Lonchura striata: one gene and its partners. The protein of the gene in region 3 interacts with the protein of the main gene of each other region in a pairwise test. Links are inferred from orthologs where the notes say so. Each region holds a gene or a part of one and is shown on either strand. Other genes may lie near its edges. The genes, in order: LONRF1, PCBD1, NTAQ1 and PPCDC.

Region 1 (7,715 bases), on a different chromosome or scaffold from region 3:
TGTGGAATTGTCAGTTTGTAGGTTTTCATGATCCAGCTGTACAAAACCTCAAGCAAACTGCTCTGATCACAGTATTTGTTCTGCTTAAACAGGAGACTGATTGCTCAACGTATCTCCTGATGTCCACTCGAGAAGGAATGAGTGAGAATCAGATCAAATTCAACCCACTAGTGGTGTGTTTCAGGACACTTGATTAAAGGCAAGCTGCACTTGTATTTTAATTTAAAAGAGCTCCTTTAACTAAGCTATTTCATTTCAGCAAGGAATATACTAGCTATATGAATGTTAACATTATTTTGGTTTTTAAAGTCACTTTTGTATAAGGGCAAATACGACTCTTTCAAATGTTTCAGAAAGAGAAGAAAGTTATGAAAAGATGCCATTTGAGTAGAGGTTTACCATCAATGACGTATTTAGGACAGATTTAAGTTTATCACAACTTTTTATCTATGTGCATTAAAAAGAAACAGATGAAGCAGCAGTAAGGAAACGCTGAAATGGAACACGAATTATTTTAAACATGAACACATTTCTTATGCTACATCTTTTCCATCTCTAAGTGTCTTCAAAATTCAAGGTTTGAAGGAACATGGAAAGTATACCAGCAGCTATTAATTTATCTATTGACCTGGAATCATCTTCAATTTGTGGTTGTGAATCCGCAGTTCTAAATTCACATAACATATGCCTACACACTGATGCCCAAAGTTCTTCAGTATCTTTTCCAGAATATGTGTAATGTTGATAATTGTAAGGATTGAAGACACAGGAAAGAACGGTACAATGGACCTTAAACTGAGCTTCTAATACTTAATTATAGCACATGTACTGAACTTGAATAATAAAATTTTGAACAAGCATCACAGCTGGTAAGTATACTCAAATTTCAAACCCATTTTGAAGCCAAAAAGAAGATGCAGATTCACATAAAAAAGAATCAAAATTCTTTCCCCATATTTAGGAATATCTAAATAATCTTCCTAAATCCATAAAAGAAAGATTAACAAAAACTGTGTAATTATTTCAGTCTTTTATTCTTTCAAAGCAGTCTTGAAACATGAAAAAGGAGCCCTGTAAACATATGTGATCAGTACTGGATTCATCAATTTTACCCTGGAAACTACTGAGATTTCTTTTTGACCTGTATGAGTCAAAGCTGTACTTCAGGAAGAAGTCTGCATCTTATAGTTTCAAGATTTAAAATCCATCTTGTATTCTTACACTTTGGAAACACCCTGGAAAATAAAGTAAAATCAATAACCAAAGCTAAACCCCTTAAAATTAGGTTGCCAAAAAGCATATAAAATAGATATTCGACTTAATCCCACCTACATTGAGAACAGTTTATTCTGGAGCTAGACCTAATGTATCTCCCCAGAACAGATTGGAAGGATTAGACTTATGCAAGCTTTTGGTTTTTTATCTCCACTGCAGACAACTGTATAAACGTAATACACTTAATCTGTAAAAATATTAATTTCTAAATTACCGAACAGAAAAAAAAAATATCCTGGTATAATTCATAACAGAACCTCCCATGTCACCAGGTGTTAAAATCCATAGTCAAATTAAAATAACGAAGGAATCCCTCGCTGGATCCATCTAGGTGTATCAATCACATAAATTTGACTCTCTATAAAGAGTAAACTTTGAAAAATTGAGCGTATCTTAGGAGTCCATGGTACCAGCCAGATTGCGACGGATATAGGATAGCCTAAAAGCGTGCCTCTACCTCCCCTCTTTGGACCCTCTTCAACACTATATAAAACTCCAACCACACCCACCTATGATGTCACTGCCATTACACAACCTGTCCCCCTCCGTGCCTGTCTGCTTATGCAACTCGGCCCGGCCTGCTGGGAATTGTCTTGGTGACACTTAAGACTGAAAATAGGTCTCTCTCTCTCAGGAAACAAGGTTAAATACACCAACGGAATTTCTCTTTGCCCGCGCACAGCGATTACCCAACACAAACCGAAGCAGAGCCCACGGACTCCTCTGTAAACAAGTCCCACAGAAGCGTGCGGGGGGAGACAGACCGCAGCCCATGCGGGACGCTCGCCCACCCCTCTGGAGTAAGCAGAAGCAGGTGTACCCCACTAGCAGGCTGGGCGCCCAACCAAGGGCCGGGCAGCCGCGCGTCCCCTCCACTCCGCTCTCCCAATGGAGAGGTTCCTCGGATCCCTTCAAACTCGAGAAAACTTCGGACGCTCTTCATCGGCACGCGTCGATGGCTGGCGGTCCCGCCGCACTCGGGGATAAGGGCGCATCCACCTACTCCACCACAGCCCCAGCCCCCCGAGCCTGCCGCCCCGGGCCGCTAGCCCGCCCCGGTCCCGCCGGGACACGGGCGGCACCGGCGGAGCCCGCGCGGCCCCGGCGGGCGGCAGGGCGGAGGAAGGGAGCGCTCCCCACAGCCTTACCTGCTCGCAGAGCCTGGTTGGCGGCGCCCAGCGCCTCTCGGAAGCGGCCCTGGGTCAGCAGCTCCTCCAGCCGAGTCCCTGCCCTCGCCCTCTCGCACTCGCCCGGGAACCACTTCTCCGCCAGCCGGTTGAGGACGACGCTGGTGCGCAGCGGGGCCGCGGCCGTGCTGGTGCCCCCCGCCGGCAGCAGCCAGTCCCGGCAGCGGCGGCAGCGGGCCCGCAGCTCCCTGCGGAGGCAGCGGCGGCAATAGGTGTGCCCGCACGGGACGGTCACCGGCTCGCCCAGGAACCTCCGGCAGCCGCAGCAGCGCAGCGGCCCCTCGGCCCCGCGCTCCCGGCCCCGGCGCGGCCCCTGCCGCAGGCGGTAGTTCAGCACCAGGCAGTCCACGAGGGTCCCGAGGCGCTGGGCTCCGCCGAGGGGGCCGAGGCACAGCGACGCCAGGGACGCGCCCACCGCTTCCTTCAGGCGGCTCGCGGGCACCAGCCGCGCCAGCGGCAGCTCCCGCTCTTCGTCCGCCCCCTCGCCGGGGCCCCCGCTGCCGCCCGGCTCCGGCGGCAGCTCCGAGCCCACGGCGGCGGCGGGAGAGGACGCTGCCATCGGCTGCGCGGCTGCGGCGAAGGGGGTGTGGCGCTCCCGCTCCGGCCGCCGGGACGGGCTCCGGGCTCGGCGCGGGCGGGGGGCGGGAGGAGGCGGGGGGAGGTTACAAAACACCGCTCCACGCGCGCGCCGCCAGCCGCGCGGTCACGTGGCGGGCCGGGGCGGGCCCGCCCGGGAGCGGCCGGCTCGGGGGCGGCGGTGCCGGAGCCCCCCGCGGCCCGCCGGCACCGGGCAGGGGGCGCGCCCCGGCCGGGCCGGCTGGCGGGGCCAGAGGGACGGCCCTGCGGGTTGACTCCGGGGAGCGGCTGCCGTGGTGAGGGTCGGGCGCTAGCAGGGCTGTGCGGGAGGCAGGGATAGAGGGACAGTCACCGGGGCCGGGAGAGGGGTCTGCAGCGGGGAACGGGGCTCTGTAGCTGCCGTGGTCCCGGAGGCATCGCCCGGCGGGCGCCCGCCGCCCTCCCTGCGGCTGCTGCTCGCACTCGTCTTGGGCCGCTTGGGCTTGCCCCTCTTCCTTCTTTGTTAGTCTTTTAATGGAGGACACGATAAGATAAAAGTTACAAGGTTAAGGAAAAGCTCTTTGTCCTTAGGGCTTGTTTCCCCCCCTCTCTCCCCGAGTGTTCGCAGCCCTCGCAGGACTCGGACGCGCCCGGCGGGCAGCGAGCCGCGCTCCCCGCCAGTGTGCTGCCGAGGCGGGCTCTGCGGGGAAGCACCTGATCGGTTTCGCCTCAAGTAGTCCCACTGGGAAATGCTCAGGCTTTCCAGGTGAACGCCAGCCTCTAAAGGAAGCTTGAAGCCTATTGCATAAGTGCTATGTATTTATAATTGTTACAGTGCCTTTTTTTTTTTTTTTTAACGTTAGAAGTCTGTCATATATCCAGACGTTTCAGATAAATATAGCAGTACCTTTAAAACCTTCCAAGGAAAGCTTGCACATCAAGAAAATTAATATATGACTGTACGAAAGGAGCAAAGCTGTATATATCTTCAGCTGTGTTCCATGTATGGCAGGCTGGAAGATGATGCTAAAGGTTGTTAAGAGAGCTGTAGGCAAACATGGCATGATTGGAAATAACTAGACACATCTGGATTTACATTCAAGTGTTTTGTCTGACCTCAGTACTCTAAGCTTGGTCCTTTGCCAGTGGCTTTCAAGTTCCTAAAGTCAAAGAAAAAAGATGCTATGGTAATTGAAGCATGAGGGCACCATGGGTATATTTTAAATATGGATAGGAAAGATGGTCTCTTACCGTAATCAATTAAAAAATTGAGTGAGTTAGGAAATTTTTTATCTTTTGATCTAAGGATCAAAGTAAAGTAGATATCTGTAATATGAACTTGAGTTGTGATGGGATGTTGAGGATTGCTTTGAATTATTATGAATGGTTTTAATAGATTACGGATTCTGGTGTGGACATGTCAAGCATGAGTTGGCCCCTCACAAAGAATTTGAGTTAGCCAATTTGGACAAAAGTACTTCTCTGAAAGAAGTACTGTTAAACAGTAGTTTATTTTGCATTCCAGATTAGATTACTTGTGGAAATACAGAAGACAAATAAAACAGGACAAACCCCAAGGGCTTGTGGGATTGGAATTAGAATAGTAAAGCTGTCCTCTGATGAAACAATTTAAAACAGTAGAAATGAAAACATGTTTCCACCATTGCCACCATAATTCCTATTAAAGTTCATACATTAGTGATTCAAGCAATCAATGCAATCAGCTGTTTTACATAATTTCCAGTGTAAAGGCACAAAATACTCATGGCTTTGCCAGCATTAACATCTTGGAGCAGAAGATTTGAGGTTTTTCCCCATTATCTTTCCCTGCAAAACTGAAACAGTGAAAAAAGGGATTTGAAGTAGGATGAATGAATATATGGGTAGGGAACCTGACATTTTTTATTTCTCTCACTAGTTGTAGAAATATCTGTATCTCGGAGATTATTTACAAGAAAGCTAGACTATATATTCACCTGGTCCTTATTCTCTAGACATTATTTTTTATCCATGTTGGAAATGATACTGAGCCTCGTTAGACTGTGAAATTACCCAATGTTAACACTCTTGTGTCTTTGAACTACAGTTGATTCTCTGAGCTTTGGTTTTGGTGTATTATTCCACCTTTGGCATATTTAACTAAACAAGGAAAAAGCCTTCAAATTTCAACATTTTTACTGTGTTACCATCAGGATGTTATCGTTATGTAAGAGAGGGAAAAAGACATTTTCAAGATTAGATAACAGGCAGCTCCACCACCACTCCATTAAAATAGCACACTCAAAAAACCTTTTTTTTTTTTTTTTTTTCCTTGCTTGTAGGGTCAGATAAATGATATTTTAAAATAGCAAAGCCTTGCCATTGTGCAGTTCATGTGGGCCGTTCTAAGAAAGACTTCAGGGACTGTCGTTTCCCTTCCTGCTGTAGAGCAGTATTGTACTGCTGGTTATGGACGTTGGTGGTTCTCATTCAGGAAGGTATCTGCAGAGCACTGTGCCTTCAGTATAGTGAGATAGGAGTAATTCCTTTCTTATGCTTTTTAAGGTATTGGTTGGACATTTTTGAAGCAATTCCTTGTATGAGTAGTGTGTGCAACCTACATGAGATGACAATAAAACAGTAGTTTAAGTTGTATTTGATCCCACTTTAGTTAAATTAAGCACAGTTATTGTGATTCAAGGTCTTCAGAAATTAGTAGCAGTATAAACAAAGTAAAGCAAGACCAACCCAGATTAGGGAACAGGCAGTGGACCTAAAAATTAATGCCTACATACTGGAAATCTGGAGCCAAGCCCCATTTTTACAGGTTCTAGGCATATACCCCATGAAGAAGTAGTTAACCCAAAAGATATGGTTGTATTCTAAGAGAAAGAATGGCTTTCTGGCTGTTTCTCCTCTTTTTCTGTGAAGGTAAATGCTAGTTACCCAGCTATTGTAACTTTTTGCAAAGAAATGTGTAGCAGAGGCAAAATAAAATTAACAAGAGAAAGATTAGGCAAATAAGAGTCATACTTAGAAAAGCATAATATTCCTGAAAACTATTTTTTCTACCACAAAACACTTAAATATCATTTCTTCTAGGGAAAAAAAAAAAAAAACTCCAAAAAAAAAAAAGGAAATATCAAGCCATATTTAAAATTCTTGAATGGCTTTTGAAGACCTTAGCTGATAATGCTTGAGTTCCTTCAGCCCTGGTTAAGAAATGATGCTCAGAATCAACTATGATTTGTTTTGTTTCAGATTTTCATGGTTGTTAAGTAGAATTTTGGGGCTTTAGTGAGATCTGGCAGAGAGATTTTTAAATGGAAAAATCCTCAGCATCACTGCAGTAAAACAGACACTAATCCTTGTTTGTGCAACGTAGTGGTGGGCAAAAGTTGGTTTTGAATTTTTTTTTCAGTTAGGAGTGGTCAAAAAGCTGCATTTGCAGCTTGGTCTCAGAAGGTAGTTACGGTAAGCTGAACAGGGCTAGACTGTCAGCAGTAGTGTGGCCAAGAGGACCAGGGCAGTGATTGTCCCCCTGCACTCAGTGCTGCTGCCATGCCTCAAGTGCTGTGTCCAGTTCTGGGCTCCTCACTACAAGATGGATGTTGAGGTGCTGACACAAGTCCAGAGTAGGCTAACAGAGCTGGTGAAGGGTTTGGAACATAAGTCCTACAAGGAGCAGCTGAGGATACTAGAGTTCATCCCAGAGACTAGTCTTTCCAAAAGAAAAGAATTTTAAATGAACAAGATTTATTTTAGATTTTTTTCTTTTGGCAAAGGCAAGAATTCTAGCATTTGTATGAAATCTGTTAAATGCAGTGACTTCTGTTGCACAAAACCAGTTTTTAGCTGTCTAAATAAACTGCTAATTAACAAACAGTCAAGTGCTCATTGGGATTTCCCTTCAGTGTGAAATCTGAATTCTTCATAGTATAATAGTATGGCAATTGCCGGTGGATAAGGGACAGACTGAATCTGGTCTGTAAAGCCTTTGATAGTGTTTCCCACAGTCTTCTCCTGGAGAAAGCTTCCTGGAGCAGCATGGCTGCTCATGGCTTGGACATGTGCAGTGTTCCAGGCTGAAAAGCTGTCTGCATGGCCAGACCCAGAGAGTGGTGGTGGGTAGAGTGACATCCACTTGGCAGCCAGGCCCTATTGGGGTTCCCCAGGGCTCAGTACTGGGACAAGTTTGGTTTCATATTTTGATCAATGCTCTGGGGGTAGCGGTTGGTCTCTTCTCCAAGAAACAACCAATAGAATGGGAAAATGGCCTCAAGTTGCCCGAAGGGAGGTATAAATTTGCTATAGGAAAAACTTTCCTCACTGAAAGGGTGGTCAAGCATTGGAACAGGCTGCCTCGAGCAGTGGTGGACTCACCATCTACGGAGGGGTCTAAACCACATGTAGATGTGCCAGTTAGGAATGTGGTTTAGCAGTAGTCTTGGCAGTGTTGTGTTAACAGCTAGACTTGATCTCAAAAGTATTTTCCAACCTAAATGATTCTCTGGTTCTATATCCTCATTTTTGGTTCAATTACAGTTTTGGAGGTGTCTGCCCACTTTGTCAAAAGAGCCCTGAAGGTGATTTTGGATTTGGGGCAGTGACACCCAGAACCCAGGAGATGCTTGCCTCCTTTCTTCTTTCCCAGTTACCAGAATCCTAGTTTGTCTGTGGTGCTGAGAAGTCTCTTCTCATCTCCAAAAACAGTTTTGA
Region 2 (7,026 bases), on a different chromosome or scaffold from region 3:
TGTCCTCTCACCTGCAACACCTCCCACAGTGCATGAGGTACTAAGAAATGATACCGAAGTCCAAAATACATTTGGATAAACTCCAAAATACATTTTCTTTTATATATAATCTTTCTGGGGAAAAAAAAAAAAAAATTAAAAAAAAAAAAAAAATTGAAAAACAGAAGCTCTTGTGGTCATTTCTAGATCTGAGAGTTGCTTTAGGGTTTCTAAAGTAGGAGGGCTTTTTTTAAAAAAAAAATATTTATTTATTTATTCATTTATTGGGAGCCTGCTTTTGAGGAGAAAGAAGTGGTGTGGATCAGAGATGAGTCACACTAAGCTGCAGTTCAGGTCCTTTTTTCCTCTCCTTTATATTATAATGGATTTTAAGAGGCTGTTTCTGCCTGTGAGGAACAAAGGGCAGAGGGAGGGATTGTGGTTGAGCTCTGCCTTGGGCAGAGGTGCTGGTACTTAGTTTTTAAGGGGTGATAGTGGGGAGGCAGCAGTTCTTGGTTTTGAGGAGTGTTTATAGGCAGAGATGAAACTAAAATGAAGCTCTTGGGGATGGGGGCTGCTTGAGCCAGCTCTGATCTGGCTCAGTGGGGAAGGCAGGAGCGAGTGCAAAGGGGCACTGCTCTCTGAAATGTTATGTCCTGGCAATTAAAATTCTTTCACAGACTCACAGATTGTTCTGAGTTGGAAAGGACCCACAAGAATCTGCAAACTCCAACCTCCTGCCCTGCACAGCCCCAAGAATCTCACCATGTGCCTGAGAGCATTATCCAAAGACTCCTTGAGCTCTGGCAGGTTTGTGTGAGTTGATCTTTCCAGTTGGTGATGATAAAGAGGTCTATGCAATTTATTTTCCTTTATGTGCTGTACAGCCAAATGTGGCAAGTTGGATATGAGTCTTGACAAACCTGGCCCAGTTTTTTTTGTGGGTATTTGATCAGCAGTCCCTTGAGATGCTTCGCTTGGGCATCAATACTCAGAAATGGCATTGGGCAGCTGAAGCAAATCATCCTCTCCTGTGGCTTCCCTGCTCACAGGCTGCACAAAACCGAAGAACCAGCTGTGAAACTGATGTTTTGGTGGGTGATTCTTACATGTTTTGGGGAAGACAGGAAAGATGATACCCCATTCCAGTGGCTCTGTGGATGCCTACCTACCTGTATATCCACACCCTTAGAGTGCAGGGTGTCACTGGGGGTGGGATGCTTCCTGTCCCCCTGGCATTGCAGCTCTGTGCAATGGATTTTTGGGGAAAGTGTTCCTTGCCTCTGCATATTTTGGATGACCCCCTGGCAGCCCTGGCTCTGTCATCCCCTCCCCACCCCCTAAAAGTCAAAGTGCTGTGCTGGGAGGAAAGGTAGTGAGCAAACATGACTTAGCTCAATAAACCCAGAGCCGTTGCCCTTCCCTGCTGATGGTGTGATAAGCCAGGCAGGTAGCTTAGCAACTGGATAAGGTGGGGACAGAGGATGGCTCTGCTGGCAGGGAGCCACCCGCGGGGCACTGATGGGAATAGGCTGGGGCTGCACCAGGATTTGGGAGCACAGGATGAAACCTGCTCCTTATCCGTGCTAAAGAGAGGAAAGGTAAAAGCTGGAGTTGTTGCTTGGAGCAGAGAGGTATGGATGCAGGGGGCTGGGCTCCAAACCAGCCTTCTCCAGGCAGAGCAACACGGGGACATGGTGTAATTGTTCTTTTTCTCCGCTGTGACTCTGTGGGAGAATGGCCTCCGGGGCTTTTTCCAGCCCAGCTCCTCCCAGCACCAGCGGGAGGCATGGCCAGGCTGAGGTTTGGCACCTAGAGCACACAGAAACAACTCCTCTGGCTGTGTCGGAGAGCAAACCCTCTTCCTGGAGCACCCCCTGCCCTCTATCCTGCTCCAACATCCTCCTCCACCCCAGGATATTGGCCAGCAGGCTGGTTTTGTCAGGGTGGCATGTTAATGCTTTCATGTGCTCTCACTCCATAAAAACACACTCTTCTTGTTAGGAAAATCAAATTATTTTGTTTTATTCTGCTGGCTCCTAACTGCCAAAAAGTTTGGATTTTAATTTTTGGGGCTTTTTTTTTTTGCCAGCAGGAAAACAAGTAGATGCATTGTGCAACTGAGGGAAAGGAACCAGCAAGGGAAATGATGAAAGACTGGAACTCTCTTTGCTCTAAAATCTTCTGTTTTATAGAATCATGGAATGGTTTGGGTGGATGGGACCTTAAAGCCCATCCAGTTTCACCCCCTGCCATGGGCAGGGACACCTTCCACTATCCCAGACTGCTCCAAGCCCTGTCCAACCTGGCCTTGACCACTACCAGGGATCCAGGGGCAGCCCCAGCTGCTCTGGGCACCCTGTGCCAGGGCCTGCCCACCCTCCCAGGGAAGAATTTTTCCCTAATGAAAACTAGAATTTCCACCTAGGAGAAGGTACAGGGGAGCCCAGGGCGAGCGGGCAGGGCTGGAATGCTGTATCCCACAGGGGTCTTTTGCTGCCGTGGAAAAGCCGACTTCCAGCCGGCCAGGGCGTGCTGGGGGCTGTGCACATGGAGCACACCTGAGGGTCGTCCTTGCCGTAAAGAATGTGAGGGGAGGTCGTCCTTGCCATAAAGAATGTGAGGGGGGTCGTTGCTGGCGGATCCTTTCCCTCCCCCTCCTCTGCCGAGCGCTCCTCTGGGAACGGAGCCGCGGCGGCGGAGCTCCGGCGTTACTGATTAACCACAGCGCTGCGTTCCTTTCCCCCTTCCCTGCTGCCTCTCCTCGCAGCCTCCAGCTGCCGCTGCAACATTTCTGCCTTCCGAAAGGCACGACAAACAGCCGGCTTGCCCAGCGGCGACTTACCATGGCCCGCGGCTCTCCGTGCCCGCCGTGCCTGGGGATGCGCGCCGTGCCTGGGGATGCGCGCTGTGCCGGATCCCGCCGGAGCCGGGGCTTGTCCGCGATTGTCTGGGAGGCGTGGCGAGGCCACCGGGTCCACCCACGGCCAGCAGAGCCTTCCCAGCACTGGCCTCCTGCCTGTGGGGTGCGGGGGGTGGCCAGACAGGGTCTCTTGGAAGCCCTGCATGATGCGCTTTGCCCCCGAGCCGCGCACCCCTCTCTTCACCTGGGGCGCAAGGAGAAGTGGAGCGACATGGAGGGGGCATGTAACAGAGTAAAGCCATGGTTGACTCTCACAATTAAAAAGCAAATATCGTCTGTATATGTTAGAAGTTTTATAGACTTATGTTTTACCCCTCCCCCCCCTTGTGTTGTTATCCTGGGTTTGGGATATTTGGGAGGGCTGGCTTGTCACTGTGGCAGCACCTGGCCTCCCATCAGAATTTAAGGAAGTAAAACTCCATCACTGGTCAGCGAAGGAGTCCATGGACAGAACTTTGGGAGGGGTTTAAGGGTTAAAAGGCGAAACCTCCATTGTGTGGGTGAGCACATAGTGGAAAAAAAATATCCTTTGCTCCCGGCCCTGTAATATTTTCTCTATTTAGTCTTCTGTTGTATTTTTGATAAGGTTTTAATAAACCTTTAAAATTTGTAAAAGTGAGTATCATTTCTCACAGGGCAGCTGCAGCCAGCCCCGCTGGATACTGCTAGCAGGTGTGAAGGAGGCTGATGGTGCTCCCGGCTGTATCCATAGCTCAGAGCACCGATAATCACCGTCCGGGACAGTGTCCGGGTTATATCGACTGAGAGGAAGGAGAAGTGCCCCTCACAACATTTCCCAGCATTTTTAAGGCGTTTTTTGCTATTGCTGAGTGCTGCTCCCTGGCATTTTCCCTCTCCAGGCCAGATGGATTTGTGCCCATGTCCTGCAGCTCGTCATCTGCTAAACCCACTCACATGATGGGCAGTTTTCCAGTGCTGACCATTTTTATTGTGCTGCTGTACGTGGCAGACAGAAATTCAGCCCCCTGCTATTCCCTCATGTCTTTCTTCACCTCTGAAGCAACCAATTCCAGATTTTTTTTTGGATACAGAATGACATACATCCCTTGTGCACATTTTGTTTTCTGCTGTAAGGGATTGCAGGTATCATAGAGATGATTTGTTTTTCCAGCAGTCAACTTAGAGGGAAGCAAATCCTTCCTTTTTATTTTTTTTTAATTTTTATTTAATTTTTTTTTTCCCCTTCTGCAGGTTTGTTTGCCAGGGTAATGAAAAGGAAAAAAATGACCATCTTTTTTGTCCAACAACCGGGCAGTTGAGGTTTTCCTCACTCTACAGGGTGGAATTGTGTTCAGGGGAATCCCTTGGCTGACTCCAACTCCTGAACCTCTAAGTTCCCCTTCTGTACAGTTTTAATTTCCCCATCTGAAATGGCACCCTTTAGGCTTGTTTTTAATGATTAATTCAGGGGTGTTGGGCAAAGTGTTTGCTCAGAGCAGTTTGTACCCTGTGCAAGGGGTGAACCTGTTTACTGGGAACAGATTTTTGTTCTTTTCCCCTCTCCTTTTTGTCTATTTTAAAGCTGTGCTGCTTTTGGTGGCAGCTAAACCCACATGTGTAGATGATTCTGCATATTTGGAGGGAGGTCTCATGTCACTCACTATTAGTATTCTTATTTTGATGATAATTTTTAATCAAAACATATCTGACCCTGAAAGCTGCTTTGCTCGGGAGCAATGTTCTATTTCCCCTCTAAAAATTTGCTTTTGCAGGGATAGATGGGATATTGGGAAGAAATCCTTCCCTGTGAGCATGAGGAGGCCCTGGCACAGGTTGCCCAGAGAAGCTGAGATCCAAAGGGTGTTTTAAACCAGGGTGGGCCGAACTCTTTCATCATCTGCAATCTGAAACATTGCTCTCATGGCAAAATAGATTTAATTAAAGAGTTTGTTTAGCACTGGAGGGGATTTATGGCAGGTGTGACAAGTTTAAGTTGACAAAAGGGCCCAATAAACAGAAATGAATCATTAATTATGTGCAAGATTTCCTCTTGTAGCACTGTTTTATCAAAATCAGTGAGGCTCTCAGAGCAATGAACAAAATAAAGTGGAGGCTGGCAGAAACTGGGGCATTGTTCTGCTCACACTGTGTGTAGGCTAAGGTCTTTTGTCTCAGGCAGAGTACCCTGCATGAAAAATAAGATGGAAAAAATAGCAATAAAATGGCATAACCACTTCTAATATGTCAAACACACAAATCCCAAAGTGGGAAGTGACTGCTTTCAGGAATATCAGAGCATATAGCAGTGAGCAGTGTTTCATTGAAGGGAGGTCTTGGTTGGATATGAGGAGAAGTTTTTTAGAGAAAGGGTGATGAAGTTCTGGAAAGGCCTGCCCAGGGAGGTGTTGGAGTCACCATCCCTGGATGTGTTAAAAACAGACTGGATGTGGCACCAGGTGCCAGGATTTTGTTGAAGTGTTGGGGCTGGTTTGGGCTCGATGATCTTGGAGGTTTTTTTCGACCTGGTCATTCTGTGAATTCTGTGACAAATCTGAGTTTTTCTACAGTTTACAAGTGGCTTTGGATAAATTGCTTAACCATCCTTGATTCCCATTCCCTGTGCTAGCTTGGATACTCATGCCCAGTTTATTGGGCTATCTCATGAATTATCTGGTATTTGAGAAGCTCTTAAATCCATGTAACTCCCATATAACAATGAAATGTGATCGTGCTTTTAGATCAGAACAACAATAATTCATAACTCAGCACATTTTGTTTTGATTTTCCTAAAACTGTCTGAATTCAAGTGACAGAGAAATATGATTCACCATATTCATGACTACTTCTCAGGTTTTCCAGAGGATGATGATGCAAACCTGAGTCCAAAGTATCCAAGAGCACTTTTCTGTGTCTGAAAAACACCAATCACTTGTCTTTAAAAATCTTGAAAGTTTATTAGTAATAAAACAGTTATAAAATAGTAATAACATTAGAATAATAAAAATTTGGACAATGAGGTTTAGCAGAATATGAGACAATAAAAAGCAAATAATTAGGGATGTCCGGATGTTTTTGGACACCGAGCTGTCAAAAACCTGCCTTGTGAACAAAGGAATAACCCTTAAAACAATAGCCTGTTGCATATTCATATATCTCATACATGATGCATAAATTCCTTGAAAATTAAGAATTTTTACGTTTTTTGTCAATTTCTTCCTCTTAATCTTCGTGCCATAAAGATGGAGAGAAGGTGGAAGAATATTTGTCTTTTCTGATAAGGAGGCCATAACTCTTTATGTGCCCTGTCACTGTTATCTCTGTGCAAAGAGTTTCTTGATTATCTTATCCCTTTCTTGAGCTAGTAAAAAATATCTTACATCCCATAGTTTCTATTTTAATGTTATGTTGTAACCTAAAACTGTATTTAACATACTACTTAAAAGGATTAATACAGTATTACAAAATAACCCTCCATAATACATATAGTATTCAATTTAATATTTGCAAAGAGCCAATTGTAAAATATGCATTTTTCACACTGTGAATCCCTTTTCCCGTGTCAGACTAGTGCTGGAAGACACCTCCCATTCCAAGGCAATTCTGGCATGGTTTAGAATAGGAAACTCAGACCTGGGACACAATAATCCTGTTTGCATTCCGAGTTTGCCCTTGCAGCCACACAGGAGGCTCTGGGTCCAGGCAGCTGACGTGCCCCTGTGTCACAGGTCTTTTCTGCCAGCTTCCCAGGAGTTTGTTCGCCCCATGGGCTGTAGCAGACAGCGGTGAGATCACTGAGTCTGTGGCCTTGCCAAGGTCACCCAGGACCTGCAACAGCATGCATTTCCCCCAGGGGAAGGCACTCCATCCAAACTGCCTCCTCCCCAGACCTTGTCTGCTCTGCCTTGCTGATGGATTATTCCTGTAACTCTGCGCTTCCCTGGGCACAGCAGGAGCCCGGCACAAGGGAAGAGCCTTGTATTCACTCAGCTTGTTTCCTGATTTTCAGCCCAAATTTGAGTCTCTTTGTTAAACAGGTTGGATTTTCTGGCAAATTTGCAGGGGTGGCGGAGGGTGAGTATCTCGACAGGTCTGGAAACCGTTTTCCCATGTTGAAGAGTTTTGTTCCGTGTTTATTCAGGCAGGGCTCGGCGCTGCATGTTAAG
Region 3 (7,232 bases):
GGTTCAGTGATCCCAGTAACCAAAATCTCACCTATAACATGCAGTTGTTCCACCCCTTGGGAAGGGCCAAAAATTACACTACAAAAGGAGGGGTTTGGGGCAAAAAAACCCCAAAACAACAACAACCAACCAAATAAGCAAAAGAGAGAGAGGAAAGTCCCTCTGCTTGCTTTGGATCAGCTGATGGACTGTGTCACTCCTTATCCCTGAAGGGACACTTTCAGGTGAGCTTTGTGCTTCCCAACTGTCTTGGAACAGACCTGGGAATATTCACTTATATCTACTGCTAATAGATCTCTGTAACTATTCCTTCTGTAACAGCATATTTTAACACTCTGTAGCTGGTGCATTTACCACCAGCAATTCAGAATCTGCTTTCCTGTCACTTCAATTACCTGCCCTATTTGCAAATCTGGATCCTGCAAGTGCCTACTGAACTCGGCCAGGCAGCCAGTGTCCAATGGGCTATAATCACAGCTTAGGCCCAGCTGCCCCCAGCTCTTCTGATCTCTGAGGAGCAGCTGGAACCTAAGGGGGTTCATTTCTGCTAGATTTCTATAGCTTTAATCCAACAAAAAAAATTCCTAGTACTGGGATTAAGATCTTTTTGGAAGAGTTTTCCTCCTGTCTCTGTTCCATTTATAATGGCATTCAGAGGGATATAAAAATACTTCCTTGCAGAGGGTAGCATTTATCCACAGAAAACCAAAGGGAACTCAGCATATAGTTCTTCATGGATGTTCATCTTGTTCACATTGATGTTTCTGCAAGGAGGATGCTATCGACTTTTACTATGTGAGGAAAGCTGCGATGACCATGGGAAGCAGCTTGTTCCATTTACAACCCAAGGTCTCATTGTGAGTATGCCAAACTAAATCTCACACTAAAAAGGGCAGAAAACAGACTGGACTATTCTACTTCTTCACACTAATATTACCAAGAGATAATTCCACTGACTGATGGAGATGATGAGTGAAGAAGGACCACAAAGATGTTGAAAGGTTATGCAGGGAGAAAATTACAAGGGCCACAGCCCAAACACAATTTAATCTAACTACTGCTGTAAAAGACAACACAAAACATTTGTACAAATAAATCAGCAAGAAAAGGAAGACTAAAGAGAATCTCCATCCTTCACTTGATGCACAGGCAATGGCATATGGCAATGGATGAATGGATAAGGAAAAGGCAGAAGTACTTTGCCTCAGTCTTCAACAGTAAGACCAGCAGTCCTCATGATACCCAGACAGGGACAGAGAGCAGAAGGAAGCTGCCACAATCCAGGAGGAAACAGTCAGTGACCTGCTACACCACTTGGACACCCACACTTCTACAGGCCCCAAGGGGATCCCACAGCACACAGTGCCACATCCAGTTACTCCTTGAACACTTCCAGGGGTGGTGATGCCTTTCCCTCCGCAGCCTGTTCCAAGACTCAACCACCCTTTTTGTGTTAAATTTCTTCCTTATGTCCAACCGGAACCTTTCCTGGTGCAGCCAGAGGCTATGTCCTCTTGGTCTGCCACAGGTTACCTGAGAGAAGAGATTGATCACCCACAACCTCCTTTCAGGTAGTTGTAGAGGGTGATAAGGTCTTCCCTGAGTCTCCATGCCTCCAGGTTAAATACCCCCACCTCTCATCTGCTCCTCATTACTTTCTAGACCTTTCTCAGCTCTTGTCTTTCTCAGGATACATTCTAACACCTCAATGTCTTTCTTGTCTTGAGAGGTCAGAACTAGACACCGGATTCAAGGTGTGGCCTCACCATTGCTGAGTACAGGAATCACTGTCCTGGTCCTGCTGATCACATTGTTTCTGATACAGGTAAGAATGCCCAGACAAAAAGGGAACTCAAATATAGTTCACAAGAACAAACTTGTTCAGCTTTGGGAATTATAAACCTCCAAGTAGGGTTATAGACCTGGAGAAACAGGGCTTCCAAAGGGGTAGTAGCCACTTTGGATGTCACTGGGAGACTCACTCATGAAACTTTCTGGGACTGGAAGCCTGGAAGAGAATAAAACCAGCAGATGTTTGATAACCTTAGATCTCCTGTTGTATGCTTCTTACTGCCCAGGGATGAAATGAGCTGTATAACTAAACATAGACAATATGCTGATATCAGAAAAGAACCCCAAAAGCTGCCACTACCATGTCCTTGCACATCAAGACACGAAAGAGGCATCAGGACTTGAACATGAAGCTAGCACCAGTTCTCATGATCTCTCTTGGAGCACTTCTACATTATTTATACACAGACCCACAACAGAGCCCAGCATCCTATAAATGGGGTGATGACTTCACTTCAAAGCACAGGAAAGGTTGACAAAAAGGAAGGAAAAAACCCAAAAAACAACCTTGCAACCAGTTTCATAACTATGATTCTGCTTTGGTTTCAGGCATAACTTTAATTTCCTCATTCCTGTCTTGATGACATGCCAGCAGTGTTATCTGCCTAATGCTGCACAGCCTTCCCTCCTGTGCAAAGGCTGAACGAGCTCCTGACAAACATTTCTAGTGGAGACTGCAAAAACAAAGCTGTGATCTTTAAGAAGATCCCATGACTCTTTGTAAGGGGGGGGGGGGGTAAAAAAACCCACCACTGCAAGGACTTTTTTCCTTTTTAGTTCAGTAGTCTTGAATAAAATGGCACAAAATGTAAAAATATAAAATTAATTCATACAACTGAGACTCATGAAAGACTTCTGCTGGAAGGAAACAGAGTCTTTGAGAAGCATCACTCCAAAGTAGGGCTCCCCTGAAGAGCAGACCACTTCTGAGTTGGATCAGGTCTGCCTTTATTTGTCACAGAAATGCAGGACAGCCTGCAGAGTAGAGCCTGACTTGGAAATAGCAAAGTTTTAGTTTTTTGAAAGCTATATTAAAAACAATGGAAAGTGAAATGATTCAGTTATTACAGTTGCAATGCTGAGATGCACAGGCCACTTGATATCTATCCTTTACCATCTTCTAGTAGGGCAGATCAAGATTATCAAGAAAGATTATCAATAAGATAATCAAGAAAGCTCAAGTAACATTTTCACTGGTTTAGGTTATGCGCTTTAATTAAGTACAGATGAGCCCCGATTTCTAAACATTTTCTTTTTTAGAGCATACAAAGCACTATTTGGATACAATTGACTAAGGAGTATTTAGCAGGCCCTTCGGGCCAAGCGGAACGCACTCAGAGGTCCCATGTATTTCGTGTCGCGCTGGCTTTGATGCATTTCTGTCATCTAAACAGAGAGCGCTCTAAAAGCATTACCGCAACCGATGCAAAGAGCTTTCTAAGATCTTCTCAAGGTAACTTTTTCAGATAGGAATTGCACCAAAATAAACGGGGATGGGGAATGGCATACAACACACCAAACCAGAGGCGATGCAGGTTAGTATTGCCAAAGACCGGCTCTCAGCACGCTGCCACAGCCCCCGCACCAGGGCTAGTGCCGAGCCCCTTTTAGCCGCGGGGCGGCCGGGAACGGCGGGCGGGCCGGCTGCTTCTTCACGCACCCCCAGCCGCAGCCGCCTGCCCCAAACACTCGGTTCTCCCCTTTCTCCTCCAGGGAACACCACTCCGCAGCGCTTTCTCCGCTCCTCCCCTCCGCCCGGCCGGGCCCAGCGCAGCGCCGCCCGCCAGGCCGCGCTCACCCCACCCCCCCCGCACTCACGGCCTCCTCGGCCCTCCGGGCGCCCCTGGACACCGCGGCCCTGGCGGACCCGGAGCGCGTCCATACGCGGTGGCTTCTGAGCGCCGGGGGCTCCAGCGAAATGAACTCGGAGCTGGACTCCAGGAGGTCGAAGGGGGGCCGGCGACAGCGGCTGTCGCGGGCAGCCATGCGGGGCGGGCAGGCAGCGCTGCTCCGCAGCACCACCATGGCGGGGGGAACGGGACGCGCCCCGCGCCCGCCGCCGCGCGCGCCGCCCGGATCCCTCCGCCGCGCTCCCTCCCGCCCGCTCCGCCTGCGGCGCCGCTCCCGCCCGCGCGGCGGAAGGGCACGCGGCGCACTGCGGCCGCGCGTTTGGCGCCCAAAACTCGGAGCGCTGCGGCGCGGGGCGGGGCTGGCCCGGCTCGTCCCACTCCGCTCCGCCCCGCCCGAGGGTCCCTGCGCCGCCGGCCGCCCCTCCGGCTGTACCTGCGAAGTGCCCGCGCCCAGCCGGGATGGCTGCGGTTTTCTCGGGAATGGCGTAGCGGCTGCCTCCACCGGGCCCAGCGCTTCCTGCTTCGCCCTCAGCCCCGCTCAGAGCAGCCATGGCGCGGCCCGAGGCTGGTTATGAGGCGGCGGTGCCGCCCCGCCCCGCCTGCACCTACAGCAGCTGCTACTGGTAAGGGAGGCGGGGGCGGCTGAGCCGGTGCCCCTCGCACGGCCGCGGGGCGCGGGACAGCCCGGGGCGCCGGGTCAGCCCGGGGCGCCGGCACAGCCCGGGCCGCCGGGACAGCCCGGGGCGCCGGGTCAGCCCGGGGCGCCGGGTCAGCCCGGGGCGCCGGCACAGCCCGGGCCGCCGGGACAGCCCGGGGCGCCGGGTCAGCCCGGGGCGCGGGACAGCCCGGGCCGCCGGGACAGCCCGGGGCGCCGGGTCAGCCCGGGGCGCCGGCACAGCCCGGGCCGCCGGGACAGCCCGGGGCGCCGGGACAGCCCGGGCCGCCGGGACAGCCCGGGGCGCCGGGACAGCCCGGGCCGCCGGGACAGCCCGGGGCGCCGGGACAGCCCGGGCCGCCGGGACAGCCCGGGGCGCCGGGACAGCCCGGGCCGCCGGGACAGCCCGGGGCGCCGGGACAGCCCGGGCCGCCGGCGGGAGCGGCGCGGCTCTGGGCTGAGCACGCTCAGGGCTCGTTTCTCGGCACGAAAAATGCAGTTGGAGGAAAACAAAATCAACGACCGGTTATTGTGTTTTGCAGCGAAGAAAACGTTTGGAAGCTTTGTGACTACATCAGGAGTCAGGATCGGTACCCTTTAGAAGAATTTTATGCTGTTTTCATATCCAATGATAAGAGGATGGTGAGTCAAGGGGATGCGATCAGAGCCAGCTAGGGAAAAGCCCGGGCCTTCCGACCGCAGCCCGGTGCAGGTGAGAATGGTCCCAGCCCAGTGTTGGGAAGTGAGCCTTTAGCCCAGCCTGTAGGTGAGATACACCCCAAACCTGTTTTGTAGCTCACTTTGCCTCGGAGGTGTGCCAACCACACCGCCTGAGATCTTTTAATTATGCACTGCATTCAGGGCAGTAGAATGAGGCATGGTGACCCTGTGAGCTGTGGGAGTAATTCTGTTTGTAATCTGTCAATATAGGAGAATAGTTATCTTTATAAAATCATAGAACCATTAATAACCATAAGGTTGGCTAAGACCATCAAGTCCAACTGTTAATCTAGCACTGCTGTGTTCATCACTAAACTATATCCTCAAGTCTTTTGGATGTTTCCAGGGATGGTGATTCCATCACACTTCTTTTTAATGTGGTCCAGAATAGTATCTCCAACTTCATGCTCCTGAGAGAGAAACTAGAAAAAATTTCTTACTGCAATACAAATGTAAGCTGAAGAAATTGATAGCTTAGCAAAGAACTAGCCAGTTTGCCTGAAAGGAATCTGTATTAATCTGAAAGATTTTATTCACTTCAGGTTCATTTATAACTTTCAGATTCCACTCTGGAAGCAGAAATCTGGACATGGAGATGAGCCTGTTGTCTGGGTAAGACATTCATTACTCTCAAAAATTTTGAGTGTGTGTCTCTGTAGTTGATAGCTGCAGGATCACACATGGGCATGGAACAATCTGTTCCATCTGAACATAAAGGAACACTTTCTACTCCGAGGGTGATGGAGCATTGGAGCAGGATGCTCAGAGGGGTTGTGGAGTCTCCATGCTTGGATATTTTTAGAAGCTATCCAGACACAGTCCTGGGCAGTTTGCTTTAGGAGAGTGTCATTGAGCAGCAGGTTGATGTCCTTAAGTCCCTTCCAACTTCACACATAGCATTGTTTTGTACTAATATTTATAATTATTTTACAACAGATTTATAAATAGCCTAAATCTGGTGCTCCTTTGCACCCTCCTTCATAAATTAATAGCAGGACAATCAGTAAAACCTATAGGTGACAGATCTTAATTATAGTAAGAATGCATAATAGATTTGTGTAAATTATTATCTGGGTATTGAGGCTGCCAGCTCTGTGGTATTGTAGGTAGATGACTCTACTTGTAAGAAGTAGATGGATGAACATATTTATGTAGGCCTGCCAGATGATAGAAGAGTGTAAGTTATATGTGTTTTTAGGTGTCAGCAGTGAAACTGACCCATAAACAGTGGCTTTGAAGTGTCATTTGATCAGTCAATGTAGTTCAGTAATTGCTGATGCAGAATTCCTTGGTATCCTTGGTATCCTTATATAGTCCTTTCAGTTATCTGGTACAGAAAAAACTATTTCTTGTGGCAATTTCTGTTTCTGAAGTTCTGCAGAGTAATCTGCAAACTTGTGAAGTTTTCTGATTTCTGAATCATTCACTTTCTTCCAAAATATTGGTAGCTTTCCAGTACCAAAAAAAAAACAAAAACGATTTGGTTTAAAAAGAGATCCAAGTGCTACAGAGAAGACCTAAAAGGGAATAGCAGAGTCAGGAAACACCATGGCAGAATGTGGATTTCTCGTAAAAATTCAAGCATTCAAAGGTCTTTTAACTTTGACATTTCAATGAATGATAGGTTGTGTAAAACTTGTAAACTAATTTTTCTTATACTCTCTAATGGGTTATTCTAAATATTGTTGAATACAGTTGTGTATATATATACTGGTCTGGTGAAGCAGATTGCCCAAATCTTTTTAATTTAAATTTCTTTGTGGTTTTAATATTGAGAGTGTCAAAAGACAGTGCTCAACCCTTTTTGTGAGTGGATTAAATGTAAAGTAAGTTGTTAGGGGCTACCTTCAATTTAATTTTGGAAAATGGCAGTGCACATACCTGACCTATAATGTAACTGCAGTGTCCTCAAATCTCCACCTGTATTTCTTACAAGTTAAGAAGTCAAAACTGCACTGAATAACCTAAAAGTCTTGATAAAATAGTTGCATTGAAAAAGTGATGTAGTACCCACAGATAATTTCCTGTAGCAGCTCTTGAAGCTGGGAAAAAATGTCTTACCCCTGTGGTCCTCCTGATGCGAGCTGTTCGCTGGTTTTTCAGTGGTGTGCTGGTTTTTCAGGTGCTTCTGGCAGCTGAACACTCGACACTCAAAT
Region 4 (6,985 bases), on a different chromosome or scaffold from region 3:
AAAGTCTGCACTGGATGTCACAGACCTCTGGGGCTGCACAGAGAGCTGGAGTCCAGCTGTCTGCAGCTTTTAATTATGAAACAAACACTCAGAGAGAAGCAAAGGGTTTAAGCCACCCTCTACCACGGGTCATTCTGCCTATCAGCTGCACAAAAGGATGTCTCAAGCTCCAGGAGCAAAGGAAAATGGACAATAGCCAAGCTAATCCAAGAGGGAGAGGATTAGAAGATCTCTATCTCTGGCTCTGGTCACCCCATTCCCTGATGTCATTTTTCTTTGTCCTTCTTATTTCAGGCTGGGACCTTTGACCTCACTGATCACATCAGGCTAAATCATAAATTAACTGAGGCCTCACCTCCAGCACCGTTTCCAGTTTGGATCAAGCAGATAAACCAACACCTTCTCTGCCTCTACTGTGCCCACAAGGTACAGCCTCCCAAGTCATCCCAAAGGATATTCATGCAGCAATCTCGTCAAAAAAACTGCAGATTTCAGTGCACCCTCTTGCCCCTGCCACTTTTTTCTTTCACTGCTCCAAAATATTTCCTGTATTTCTAAACACCTAAAAGTTTTCTGTGTTTAACTTTATCCTACAGCAGAAAAGGCACATTTCCCTCCCTGATCAGTCACCAGTGGCCCCTGCTGGGCACCTCTGTTACTCCAGAAAAAAACAGTAAAAAAATACCATACAAACCTATACAGCAGCAGCTTGTGTTCTCCATTTCTGGTTTTACAAGGTCTGTTTTCCCTTTCTGGATCACATTTGGAAAAGCCATATCCCACCCATGGAAAACTGCAATACCCTGGAGATTTCAAGTTTCAGAAGCATCTCTATCTGCAACCACGTCTGATAACTTGACTGACAAGAACAAACTCCAGGAAAAAAAAAAAAAAGAAAAGATACAAAGCAAAAATCTTTTCAAATATAAAATGGTAAGAAAGAAGAAAGGGGGGAAAAAAGGATTTTTAAAAACAGGTGGAATCCTCCTCACAGAAATTTTTGAACTAAGGGGCCCCGAGGAGGAACTTGTCATTTCAGCAGAAGCCACGTGAGCACTGCTCAGAACCAGGGTAACTCCAACTTTACAAAGCTCCACCAACAGCTTCACTCACCGCAGGGATTTTCAGCAATTCCGCGACCAGCAGGGGCAGCTTGAGGGCAGCCACGCTTCCAGTCACTCCCACCAGCACATGGAACTTTTCCTGTGCCACAGATGAGCTGTTTCCTGCAGCAGTGCCTGGTTCTGGCAGGGAGATGGGCTCCATGCTCCAGTGCAGCTGTGCAGGCACAGGAAAACAAAGACACTGCACTAACAGAGCCTCCCAGCACAGCTCCAACCCCAACACATTCCCAAGAGGATCTGACCTGGACTCTGCAGGACCCAGAGCCAGCCAGAACCATGGGATGACTCTGGGTCACCCCCCAGGTGCCACTCATCCCACAAGGATTTCAAGCACCAGCAGAACTTTAAGGGTAGCTCAATGTTTAATTACATTTTTCTCTAAGATACTGGGAAACAGGCTCCTAAAATTTGAGCAGAGAGGCCACAAAAGCATCCTGGTAAAGTTCATGCCCTCCAAAATTAAGACTCCCACATGTTGAACACAGTCCAGAATTTAGGGCAGATAAATAAATCAATTTGAGATAAAATTTTACGCCAAGTTCTCTAAAAGCAAACAAACCCTTGCTGAGTTGCTTTCCCTCTGTACTTTCTGGTGATTAATAAATGCACAGAGATGTCTTAATAATTAAAAATGTGGGGCCTCTCTGCATGCACAATCTTGTTTCTCACTGTGTTCCTAAATATTAACAGCAGCACTAGACAGAATTCCCTAGCAGCTCTAATTTAGGTCTGCAGCTTCCTCCTGGCCTTCCTATGCTGCTGCCACACTGATAAAAAAACAGGAATTAATGTTTCGGTGGAGAAAATGACACAAGTGTCTCAAATATAATCAATCAATGATTAAGCAGCAACGAGTAAATTCAGTTCTTGAAAAATCACTGCAACCAGTAAAGTTTGTTGCATTTTAGTGATGTCCTTGTTGCTCAAAGAAAGTGTTTGCAATCACTTTGGGCGGAAAGAAGATGGACACAGGCTGTGCTGATGATTTGGGAGGAACTCAGAGTCTGGAGAGAGGAATTTCACACGACCACAGCGTGGTTTGGGTTGGAAGGGAAATTAAAATTGCCAAATACCACCCTCTGCCATGAGCAGGGACACCTCCCACTAAAAGCCCAATTTCAGCTTTGCTGATTAGCAAGGGTAATTAAGAGGTGAGGAAATGTAGCAGAACATTGGCTGAGAGATTTTAATGCCACCACCACACTTCACATATTTATCTATATCTAATTAAAATCAGATTATGATGATTATTTATAAATTATAAAAGTTATTATCTACTTAAAGCATCCTTTGGATGCTTCCAAAATGTGCACAATTCTACTGAAGCATCCACAAATTAAAGCCTGGGTATTGAAACGTACATTTTTAAGTAGGAAACTTTCCAAATGGTTATAAATTATAAAGTAATGATGAAAAGGATAAAAATTATAAAATTAGAAAAGAATTATTAAAATAGTAAAATAATGGTAAATACAGTAAAGCAGTGGTAAAAAGGTCAAATTTTTAAATGGTACAAATATAAAAATAGCGGCAAAAATCGCAAAATAGTGGTAAAAATTATAAAATAACAGTAGAGGATTATAGTAAAAGGTGTATGTACAGTAATATATGTAATATAACGATTAAAAAACCTGTTGGGCCGCGCTTTGCTCTTACCCAAACACAGCTGTGGGGAAGCAGCCACTAGAAAACGAGCAATTTACAGGCCCCTAAAGGTTCATTAAATCGACTTTTAATGCGGTAGCGGTGCTGAAAGCGGCTCCAAAAGGCCGCACAGCAGGACCGGGAAGCCCCGGGGGCCCGCAGAAGGTGAGACACAGCGCTCCGACACCGCCCCGGGCAGGGCCGGTGGAACCGGCAGGGCCGTGAGGGCCGTGAGGGCAGCGGGGCCGCGGCGGGGGGCGGACCGGAACTGGGGGGGGGGGGTGGTGGTGCCGGGAACCGGCGCACGCACGGCGCTGATTGGTGCGCACTGCTCCCGCTCTCAGCGCTGATTGGTGCGCCTTGCTCCCGCCCACGCACTGATTGGTGCGCACTGCTTCCGTCTCTCAGCGCTGATTGGTGCACACTGTTCCCGCCCTCAGCGCTGATTGGTGCGGGCAGCGCGCGCGGCCGGGGGGAGGAAGGGGTGTCATGGCGGCCCCTCACGGCCCCGTCCCGGGTCATGGCGGCAGTGCTGCCACCCTGAGCGCTTGGTGCCACTCTGTGCCCCAGTCGTGCCCACGCGAGACATCTCGCCAAGGGCAAGGGGGTGGCTTCAGGCTGCTCAAGAAGCAATCTTAACGGGGATTTTGGCTCGTGGGGAGGTTTTGGAACGGAACAAAAGACAAAAAAACTCGGCGGTAGAAGGCGTGTGGGGAACGGGGTCGAGGAGAGGGTCTGAGGGTCCCTCAAGTGACAGGGTGATATCTGAGCCTAGGAAAGTGCTAGACACCAGGAGTGAAACCTTTCCTTTGGGATTCAGGGCAGCCACACACAGTTGGCAGGGGAAAGTGGATTAAAGGACTGAGTATTCATTATCTGAGGGACAGACAGGATGAGGGGAATGGCTTCCCATGCCAGAGGGCAGAGTTAGGTGGGATAGTGGGAAGGAATTGTGCCCTGGCACAGGTTTTCCAGAGCAGCTGCGGCTGCCCCTGGATCCCTGGAAGTGTCCAGGGCCGGGCTGGATGGGGCTTGGAGCAGCCTGGGACAGCGGAACATGTCCCTGCTGGAAGAGCTGTAAGGTCCCTTCCCAGACAAACCATTCCATGATTATGCAGGCACAACAGATCAGGGGCAGCACGTGGTGCCCAGCCCTTTGCAGTTTTTTGGACATCCCACTGATACTTGTTACGAACAAGCAGCAAGGACAGAAGAGGCAGAGAGAGCAGTGCTCTGCCGCCTGCAGGACATAGAAGGTGACAAGGAGACCTCAGGAGAAGCCCTGTTGTGTTCTATGGGAGGCCTCTTGCCTCTTGCAGGAACACCCCATCTCTCCCACCCCGTGGGCTTCGGGAGCACCACCACGCTTTGATCACACCTGCATCAGCCCCACCTGGAGCAGGGACAGCTTACAAATAACCAAGGTGAGAACAAGGGGTTGAGTTTCCCACCTGGCTGGAGCCACGGGGACATTTCAGCGCTCACACACTCAGGAGACACATTGGAGAGGAGGGTTAGGTGCTGAAGCAATGTCTGTTAGTTACAGCTCGTTACAGTTATTATTGATGCATCTTATTGTCAATGCAAGAGGTGAAGTCACTTAATCCATCATTTCTCAGACACGGATGACAGAGCACGTGGTTTGGCAGAGTTAAGTTTTAGGCGAGCTAGAAATGGATTGCACAATATTTAAACCTGATTAAGTACATAATAGGCTTAGCGAAGGATTACTTTTCTCCTGACATTTTATACATAAATATATATACACACACACACACAGACAGGCATTTTATCAGTAGCTGCATTTTAGTCTGGTCAAGAGACGACTGCCTATTGCAGAATGACTGGAGTGACACCCTTAAAAAAGAAACTAGTCTTGGTGTGCTTTGCTGGAGAAGAGAAGGTCCTTTTTGGGGTGATTCTCAGGGGTAGGGGTCACATCCAAGCATCACTGGAGGGGACAGATAGGGGGCCTGGGACTTGCACAGTCCTGGCTGGTGGCACACTGAGCTCCTTCCCTGTGCCAGGCAGGAGATACTGGAGCCAAAGGCTGGATTGGATTCTGTTTGGGCTGCTTTTCGAGGACTTGGAGAAAAATTTGGCTTATTTAAAGTGCATTTAGAGTTGAAAAGCATCTCAGAGAAGTAGCTTTCCCTACTCCTGCCCTGCAGCATCCATCCCATTTATGCTCCCATTCATAATCTTTTCCAGGGTGTGCCAGTCACTTTCCCCAGGAAGTGTTGGTCTGAGCTCAGCTGCCTCCTGCTAGGGTGCAGGATCATTATTTAATGTCCGACATCCCCAAATTGGGCAAGGATTTGGGCTTGAAAGGGATTTCTGCACCAGGAAAACACACAGCCACATCTCACCAGGCTTTTTAGGAGCACAAGTGAGCAGGAGTCCTTCCCTCCAGCCTGGAGGTCTCCTTAAGAGAATTAAATTAGCACAAACCTCCAAAGCTAACGGGAACAAATCTTGGCCTGGCTATTTCCATGAGCAGGGAGACTGCTTGGATGTCCTGGGATACGGGGTGGCAAGATTTGACCCGCAGCCTTGCCCAGGCATAGGTCCTCTGAGGAACGCTCTGTGGCTTTTACAGCTGCTTTTCAAAACAGAAGCCTTAAAAAAAAACAGACTCAGGATGCAGAATCTGTAATGGGATGGTTGTATCCCACAGGGAAAACCTGTCCTTGCTCCCCAACACACACACACACGTGCACACACACACACACTGGTCCTCCACATCGAAGTGTAAACTACTCACTTACAACACCACACACTGAGAGAAGTTGTAGATCCTGAGCCAGGGTGTAGATTAGGAATCTCTTGGCTTCCAGCATATCAACAGCAGGATTGAGGGTTTCTTATATTTTTTTCCCCTTTTTCTTTTTTTTTTGTTTTTTTTTTTTTAATCCTAAATCAGCCAGCCACCTGCTAGTTAAAAAGCAAAAGAAAAAAGGAGAATTCCCAGGATTGCTTGCCCTTGCTGAGACAGTGTCAAGTGGCTGGACACTACCAACTGAAAGAGAAAACTCACACACATCAAAAACCCAAAGTTCGGGGCTTATTCCAAGAGGGAAGATGGGTGCTGGTTGCTCTTTTTCCCTTTTTGGGGGCATGGGGGGGCTTTTGGCTGATGAAGTTCTAACATACACCTACCACCACAGTAATTAAAAAAACCACCACCGTACACTATTCCACAGGGTAAAAGAAGACACGTGAACGGACACTGACTACCACACACAACAAGAGCCCTGCAGGTCAACTCACGGCCTCTTCAGAATGAAAAAGAAAGGAGAAAAGAAGAGCTCAAGACAAGAAAAACAGAAAAAAAGAAAAAAGGAAAGAAAAAAATCCCAAAAGATCTCGTTACAAAGACGGGAAAAGAACCACCATTATGGTACACTCTGACTTTCTGAGACAGCTGCAGAAACTCGGCTCAGGCTTCCTCCTCCCTTTTTCCCCCCCAGCTCTTCCTCCCGAGGACAGAGTCCTGCTGCTGCTCACATCTCGTTGGAGTAGGTGTAGTTGGGGGTGGCCGAGTACTGCGTCTCGTGCTGCATCATGGCGCCCTGCGCCGCCCCCATGGCCGCGTTCTGGGCCGCCTGCTGCACGTGGGGATTCTTCCAGGCCCCCGTGGTCCACTCCTCCTGCGCTTTGCTGAAGCTCCCGCCGCTGCCCCGGTAAAACTTGTGCACCTGCAGGGAAAAGCCAGAGGGGCTGAGCGCCTGGGGTGGCAGGAGGGGCACCCAAAGCGATGTGGAACCCCTGTTTTTCCTGCCGTACCATGGTGAGGGCAATGAAGGAGAAGACTGCCATGGCTGTGAAGAGCACAGTGGGGATCAGCATCACCACAGCCGAGCCCACGTTGGTCCCAAAGAAGGAAATCGCTGCAATCCAGCCACTGCAAGGAGATGGAAACAACTGGTTCATTCACCAGCTCTCCCCTACTGCCAGAACCCTCCCAACTCCTCAAACCATCTTCCCCAAGGAGAGAACCAGCAAAGATGCTAAAACACCACAGTGACCACCCTTGTACCCAACACAGCAGCATTTTCCTTACCAGACCCCCCATCCAGGGATGCCCACTGCCTGGATGATGCTGATCACCAGCTGGGCCATGAAGGTGAAGAAGAAGGCCATGAAGCTGAAGGAACTGTCTGTCCTGCAAGAGAATGTTCAGTCACTCCTGCACCTCCATCCCTGCTGCACTCCAA

The links.
Region 1: the proteins of NTAQ1 (region 3) and LONRF1 interact in binary tests that used the Homo sapiens proteins (3 or more experiments, as listed by UniProt). The two-hybrid records come from large-scale screens. The link is inferred for Lonchura striata from reciprocal best matches to the Homo sapiens genes NTAQ1 and LONRF1.
Region 2: the proteins of NTAQ1 (region 3) and PCBD1 interact in binary tests that used the Homo sapiens proteins (3 or more experiments, as listed by UniProt). The two-hybrid records come from large-scale screens. The link is inferred for Lonchura striata from reciprocal best matches to the Homo sapiens genes NTAQ1 and PCBD1.
Region 4: the proteins of NTAQ1 (region 3) and PPCDC interact in binary tests that used the Homo sapiens proteins (3 or more experiments, as listed by UniProt). The two-hybrid records come from large-scale screens. The link is inferred for Lonchura striata from reciprocal best matches to the Homo sapiens genes NTAQ1 and PPCDC.

What each region holds. Positions count from the first base shown.
Region 1 is NC_134606.1:27,775,308-27,783,022, forward strand, and holds the start of LONRF1 (LON peptidase N-terminal domain and RING finger protein 1), read right to left. Parts: upstream 3,022-7,715; coding exon 2,424-3,021; intron 1-2,423.
Region 2 is NC_134609.1:34,047,312-34,054,337, forward strand, and holds the start of PCBD1 (pterin-4-alpha-carbinolamine dehydratase), read right to left. Parts: upstream 3,007-7,026; 5' UTR 2,828-3,006; coding exon 2,825-2,827; intron 1-2,824. UniProt on the Homo sapiens protein: Involved in tetrahydrobiopterin biosynthesis. Seems to both prevent the formation of 7-pterins and accelerate the formation of quinonoid-BH2. Coactivator for HNF1A-dependent transcription.
Region 3 is NC_134603.1:12,563,050-12,570,281, reverse strand, and holds the start of NTAQ1 (protein N-terminal glutamine amidohydrolase), read left to right. Parts: upstream 1-4,217; 5' UTR 4,218-4,250; coding exon 4,251-4,324; intron 4,325-4,898; coding exon 4,899-4,998; intron 4,999-5,637; coding exon 5,638-5,688; intron 5,689-7,232. Other genes in the region: ATAD2 (ATPase family AAA domain-containing protein 2), read right to left, coding at 3,670-3,876. UniProt on the Homo sapiens protein: Mediates the side-chain deamidation of N-terminal glutamine residues to glutamate, an important step in N-end rule pathway of protein degradation.
Region 4 is NC_134613.1:5,863,318-5,870,302, forward strand, and holds the start of PPCDC (phosphopantothenoylcysteine decarboxylase), read right to left. Parts: upstream 3,023-6,985; 5' UTR 2,781-3,022; intron 1,279-2,780; 5' UTR 1,267-1,278; coding exon 1,114-1,266; intron 1-1,113. Other genes in the region: SCAMP5 (secretory carrier-associated membrane protein 5), read right to left, coding at 6,272-6,466, 6,555-6,672, 6,832-6,933. UniProt on the Homo sapiens protein: Catalyzes the decarboxylation of the cysteine moiety of 4-phosphopantothenoylcysteine to form 4'-phosphopantotheine and this reaction forms part of the biosynthesis of coenzyme A.